2 linked regions of the Callithrix jacchus genome follow. The protein of the gene in region 1 purifies or fractionates together with the protein of each later gene. This does not show direct contact. Links are inferred from orthologs where the notes say so. Each region holds a gene or a part of one and is shown in the gene's direction. Other genes may lie near its edges.

Region 1 (3,500 bases):
TTAAAATTTGGCCTTTTTCCTAAATGACCGTATCACAGTATTTGAAATGCCTCTTTCTTCTCTTGCCTGCCATGACCAAGGATTGTTTTTTTTGTGTGTGTGCCATGCAAAAACTGTTGATAAAGAGCCTCTTGAATATTACATTTCTCAGAGGGGAATGGCTTTAAATCACTATCAGTTTCTAAGTCATAAGTATTAAACCTGAATCTGCTTATCTTCTTAGCTCTGTGTCCAGAATAGTCCCCAGGAGGCACGGAACATGTTGCTTCAGAACCCTCAACTGGCTTACGCTTTGCTGCAAGCACAGGTAGTGATGAGAATTGTGGATCCGGAAATTGCCCTGGTGAGTGCTTCTGGTTCTTTTATGGAAATGGTAGGGTAAACCTTGAGTGGGATAGGAACTACCTGATTGCTTTGTTAAACAGATAGCTCATAGGTTTGTCTTTTCACTTTTTAGAAAATTCTACATCGCCAGACAAATATCCCAACGCTGATTGCAGGCAACCCTCAGCCAGTCCATGGTGCTGGGCCTGGCTCAGGATCCAATGTGTCAATGAACCAGCAGAATCCTCAGGCCCCTCAGGCCCAGTCTTTGGTAGGGCTTTATCCCTTAACATTTATTTTATCAGTCTTAGAATATCATTTTCTTTTTAGGAGAATATATTGAAAGAAGAATGGTCAGGAACCAGAGATGATAATTTCAATTTCCAGGCATAAAAGCAATTTCCAGGTTGCAGAGCACATGGCATCTGAATGAATATAGATTCGATTCCAAGTTTGTAAAACAAAGAGATCCTTCCTGTATGCCCTTTTCTTATAAGCTAACTTTGTGTGTATGTGCATGCCTGGCACTGTGGTTGGCACTTCGTTATTCCATACGCATTATCTCATTTAATCCTCAAAGCAACTATATGAGGTTGGCACTCTTATTATCTCCATTCTTACCAATGAAAAAAGTAAAGCTTGCTTTCAAAGCGTGATACAAAACCCTAAAGTCACAACAAATTGATACATTTGAAAACTAAAAAATTTCCATGTAAAGAAAAAGAAATAAATATCAAAGACATGACAAATTGGGAAAAAGTGTTTGCCACACACGTGAGGACAACAGACTAATAAAGAGCCCATAGTCATGCACAGGAATGTTTATTGCCATATTGTAGTGAAAAATTGGAAATGTCCTAAATGTACATCAATGGAAGAATGGAGAGAATGTGTGGTACATTCATCCAGTGAAATACTCTACAACAATTAACTAAACTACACGTATCAACATGAATGACTTTGAAAAACAAAATTCCATACAGTAGTTAAGATGAACTAGGATACATGACATCAACACAAATAACTCCAAAACAATACCATACGGATGTGAAACTAAGTGAATGTGGACATATTCCCGAAATGTAGGATATATGTATCTGCATAAATCCCCAAAATATGTTGAGTGAGTTGCAAAAGAATATATTGAGTATGTAATGATTCATATAAAATTTTAAAACATTAAAAAGAGTCTTAGTGGTCAGCTAAGGAGAAGAGAGCACAGGATGCAGTTGGGGAAGACCATACAGGAGATTGATTTATTTTATTATTTATTTCCTAAGCTGGGTGGCTATTTTCTATATGATTTGTATATCTGTAATTTTTCATACTAAACTTTAAAAGGCCTCCTATAAATTAGTAAGAAAATTACCAATAACCCAGTAGAAAAATGGGAAATGGACATAAATAGTTCACAAAAGCAGAAATGTAAATATATGAAAATGTATTAAACCTCAAGATAATGTAATAAATTATCATTAATATGCATAATGTTAAAAAATAAGATAATGTAAATAGAAACTACAATAAGCTACCATTTTTCATCTCTCAGATTGGCAGAGATACAGGGCAGGGGTCAGCAAACATTTTTCCGTAGATCAGATGGTAAATATTTTTGGCTTTGCAGGCCACAGGATCTGCCACAGCTACTCTGCCATGGTAATATGAAATTAGCCATAGGCAATATGTAAACAAGTGTGTGTGTGGTTGTGTTGCAATACAAGTTTATTTATAAAATCAGGCGGTGAGCCTGATTGGGCCCATGAGCCATAGTTTGCCAACCCCTGCTCTAAATAAATAAATAAATACATTTTCAGAGATAGAAAAAAAAAACCAAGGCCCAGAGAGGTTAGCTGGTCCAAAACTTAGCACAATTATAAGTGGCAAATCTAGTTCTGAGCCTGGTATTATCTGACCTCATAGCCAGTTTTCTCTTAACTACCTTCCTATACAGCTCTTCCGTTTCTTTTGTAGAGTTTTGTGTTCCTTAAACGTGTATGCAATTTTTTTAATATAACGTGGCTTTTATTCTTTATTTATTGAGCTCTTTCTATTTCAAGGGACTACTCAGTTTTTTGGGGAATGCACAGATGAAAAGATGACATTCTCTTTCTCTCAAAGAGTTTTAATGTAGCATTAAAAAAAATTTACATTCCCCCAAAACCAGAATTATATCTAAGGACAGGAATGAGAAAACATTGGTTAAATTTTTTTAAAAATTAATTTTAAAAATGTGGACTACCAGCAGTATTTTTCTTTTTAAGAGTCCTAGTCTCCTTTTTTCTTTCTTGGCTTTAGGGCATTTTTTTTTTTAAACTGTTATTGCCAGACCCCAATCATGAAGTTAACAATAGGTGCTATGTGCTGTCTTGCCACACAGATAAGACTTGTCAATCTCTACATTAAGAATATGTTCCATCTTAACCGTGTTCCATATAACCAGGTTCATGATGTGTATTGCAACTTGCTTCTGTGGAGTTCAAAGTGTGTGACAAATCTAATGCTGCGTAAGACATGCTATACAAAAAGGATGTTTGGTAGACTATTCGGGGCTGTTCATTTGAAGAGGACTTTTAAGGTCATAGACTTAGTATATTGCGTATCCACAGAGGCATGTACATACTCTGTTTTTTTTCTTGGTCAGGGTGGAATGCATGTCAATGGCGCACCTCCTCTGATGCAAGCTTCTATACAGGGTGGAGTTCCAGCACCAGGGCAATTACCAGCATCTGTCACAGGACCTGGCCCTGGTTCCTTAGCTCCTGGAGGTAAGTTTCATTTAGTCTTCACCATTTCAGTACTTGCTAAAGTTTTGTCATAGCCACTGTTTCAGTACAGCCAACTATGATAATGGGATCCTTAAGTAAAATTAATACACAGCTAGAAAGCATATATCCTAGGTGGAGGAAATAGAGTTCTTATGTTAAATCCTATATGTCTAATTATAAGAAGAGGGAGAGGGACAATAAAGCGGAATAACATAGTAAAACTTCCAAGTTAACAAGTGGGAAAATGGAATGAGTGGAAACTAAATCAAGCCAGCAAAAATAGAGAAAAGGAAAAAAGGAAGGGACAATGTAAAATAAGTAATAATAAGTGTAGAGTAAGATGGAAGGAATAAAAACTAATGTTGTTATTCTGCTAAATATGAATGAACTATTAGATTAAGTTCAAAAGCT
Region 2 (3,500 bases), on another chromosome or scaffold:
CTTAGACACATATAAATAAAATAAAGTAGATATAACTATTAATTTTATTCTCTCACAATTATATTAAAATTGATGATGAGCTTTTTTTTCTCCTAGGATATGAATAATGCCAAATTATTTAGTGATGAAGCTGCTAATATATATGAAAGAGCCATAAGCACTTTATTGAAGAAGAATATGCTTCTTTATTTTGCATATGCAGATTATGAAGAGGTAAGTAAAAATATTTAGAGCCTTCTTATAATTCAATTTTTTACTGCAGGACTGAACATTTCTTCTTGCTGCTTTTTTGCCAGGCATATTGCTTTTGGTAGACAGAGATAATTCCAAATGAACAGTTATTCGTTATCAGCTTATACTATATTTATGCTCAGTGGAGATGCCATTAGACGTGGGGGATTATAGCCTTTGGATTCCTTAGAGTTCAAATCCTGCTTATTTATGACCACATGTTAATATTCACTTCTTCTCTACCACCTTAGAGTCGCATGAAGTATGAAAAGGTTCATAGTATATATAACCGACTTCTGGCAATTGAGGATATTGACCCCACCTTGGTGAGTAACTTTACACATCTGTTTTCCTCCTTTACATTCTTATCTAACAAAAAACAATTTAAGTGTATATACAGTAAAATTCACTGTTTTTGTTGTATAGTTCTCGGAATCTTGACAAATAACATTGAGTCATGGGATCATCACCACAATTAAGATAGAAAACATCTCCATCATCCCTCAAAAATTCTCTCATGTGACTTCTTTGTAGATATAACCCTTCTCTCTGCCCTTATCTCTGACATTTGCTGATCTGTCTTCTGTTAGAATTTTTTCTTTTCATTTATTTATTTAATTTTATTTTTTTTGAGACAGAGTCTCACTCTATCGCCCAGGCTGGAGGGCAGTGGCACAATCTAGGCTCACTGCAACCTCCACCTTCTGGGTTCAAGTGATTCTCCTTCCTCAGCCCCTGAGTAGCTGGGATTACAGGTGAGTGCCACCATGCCTGGCTAATTTTTTGTATTTTTAGTAGAGAGGGGGTTTCACCATGTTAGCCAGGATGATCTCAATCTCCTGATACCATGATCTACCCGCCTTGGCCTCCCAAAGTGCTGGGATTACAACCAATATCCTGGGAAGAAATTAGACTGAAAATCACTTTATTCTAAATCCTATTCTATCATAGTGGTTTTCAAAGTCCTGAGTGCAAAAGTGCAGTGGTGCTTTGCCATTGGCAGAGGAAGGGGACAGGCTTGTGGGTGTGTCTAGACCCTCTGCCTCCAGTCAATTATAGCTACACTACTTTTTTTTGTTACTGATTTATATTGGGATTCCACTGCTCTAGTTCCTACATTTATTATTATAATTCTTTCCACAAACGTATCTAGCAAAAATATTGCTGGAGTCTATGCGTTGTGCTAGACTTCAGCAACATAATGACAAACTAGATAAAACTCCTTTTCTTGAGGAACTCATAGTTCATTCATCCATCCATTTATCAATCTATCAAAACTGGACAAACCAGGACCCTACTAATAGTCATTTGTTCATTAAACAAATACTGCTTACTCACGATATGTTAAGACACTCATAGGTGCTGGGTATAAAATGGCTCATTGTTTATCCATGAAGTTCCATTATATGTTGTTTAGAAAATAGAATAGTGGGCTTTTAAAAATAAACCAAGGCTGGGCGAGGTGGCTCACGCCTGTAATCCCAACACTTGGGGAGGCAGAGGCGGGAGGATCACCTGAGGTCAGGAGTTTGAGACCAGCCTGACCAACATGGTGAAACTCTGTCTCTACTAAAATACAAAAATTAGCCAGGTGTAGTGGCGGGCACCTGTAATCTCAGCTACTTGGGAGGCTGAGACGGGAGAATTGCTTGAAACTAAGAGGCAGAGGTTGCAGTGGGCCAATATTGCGCCACTGCACTCCAGCCTGGGCAACAAGAGTGAGACTCCGTCTCAAAAAATAAATTAATTAAAAAAATAAATAAATACAAACCAAGAAAATGAGAAGTTAAACATGTATTGCAAACATGCTTGTATTAAATTAACTCTCGAGACTTTTAGATATTGGCATTCATTAGTGGAGTATGTTCTAGTAGTTTCACACTTTTCCTCTTAACCTTTAATTTTAGAATTAGTGGTGATGATTGCACAACTTTGTGAATATATTTAAAACCACTGAATTGTAGGGCTGGGCATGGTGGCTCACACCTGTAATCCAAGCACTTTGGAGGCCAAGACGGGTGGATCACCTGAGGTCGGGAGTTCAAGACCAGCCTGACCAACATGGTGAAACCCCGTCTTTAAAAACTACAACAACAATAACAACAAAAACCCACTGAATTGTAAAGGGTGAATTTTGTGGTATGTGAATTATATCTCAATAAAAAACAATAGCAAATTAATTTGCTTACATCTCTAATATCTAATATCAGAAAAATTAGCTTGTGGATTTAAATAGCATGTTATCTAAATTCCTACTTTCTAATTTCTTGGGTATTGAGGATTACTTTTTTATACAGGAAACATACTGCCTAATTTGTAAAACACAAATACTTTTTTTTTTTGCATAGGTATATATCCAATATATGAAATTTGCACGGAGAGCAGAAGGCATCAAATCTGGAAGAATGATATTTAAAAAAGCAAGAGAAGATACCAGAACCCGCCACCATGTCTATGTTACTGCAGCACTCATGGAGTATTACTGTAGTAAGGTAAATACTGAAATACAAGTGTAAAGGTAAAACAACTTCCATCATCTGAGACTTGTAAAAGAAAGGTGGTCTTAGTTTCTGTCATTAAGATTTTATTGCTCCATTTTTAAAGACAGCCTAAGTGTATATGTGTAAAATTACACAGAGCATCATCCAAATCCCCAACTGCCTGCTTTTCATGCCTTATTAATCACCACATTTCTGAGCCTAAACTCCTTTAAATAGTTTTTAGCTCAGCAATTTTTACTTAACATGATTTTAATTTCTGCTTTAATTCTTATTTATTTGGTCTTATTTAGGTATAATTTTAATATTCTTATAAGTATTTTATCTGACATTACATGGAAATCAGTACTTTACTTTCTTTACTTGTAGGACAAATCTGTTGCCTTTAAGATTTTTGAGCTGGGGCTAAAAAAGTATGGAGATATTCCAGAGTATGTCCTGGCCTATATTGACTATCTTTCTCACCTCAATGGTAGGTTGATTCTAGAATCTATAATGATTACTTAACATTAAACCATCTGAAATTATGGTGCTTGAGTTTTTCCTTCTTGAATGTATTATAATTTTGACATCATAGCAGACTTGATAGGCACTCAAGAAATACTTGTGTCATATCAACCATGAATATATTTACAGAGCAATGGTAGTTACTTTTTGACTCTGCAGAACTGTTTTTATTTAGTAAAGTACCATCAGTAGTGGGATAAACCTACAAAGTTAGAGTTAGGAGACATAGAGTTGTTTATATTCATCTCTGATGACTCTGGGCAA

Evidence for each region.
Region 2: the proteins of CSTF2 (region 1) and CSTF3 fractionate together in Homo sapiens (co-fractionation; 4 studies listed by BioGRID and IntAct, with this or other methods). This does not show direct contact. The link is inferred for Callithrix jacchus from reciprocal best matches to the Homo sapiens genes CSTF2 and CSTF3.

The regions. Positions count from the first base shown.
Region 1 is NC_133524.1:97,134,136-97,137,635, forward strand, and holds part of CSTF2 (cleavage stimulation factor subunit 2), read left to right. Parts: intron 1-223; coding exon 224-343; intron 344-457; coding exon 458-595; intron 596-2,965; coding exon 2,966-3,089; intron 3,090-3,500. UniProt on the Homo sapiens protein: One of the multiple factors required for polyadenylation and 3'-end cleavage of mammalian pre-mRNAs. This subunit is directly involved in the binding to pre-mRNAs.
Region 2 is NC_133511.1:98,475,643-98,479,142, reverse strand, and holds part of CSTF3 (cleavage stimulation factor subunit 3), read left to right. Parts: intron 1-96; coding exon 97-213; intron 214-482; coding exon 483-557; intron 558-2,579; coding exon 2,580-2,723; intron 2,724-3,098; coding exon 3,099-3,201; intron 3,202-3,500. UniProt on the Homo sapiens protein: One of the multiple factors required for polyadenylation and 3'-end cleavage of mammalian pre-mRNAs.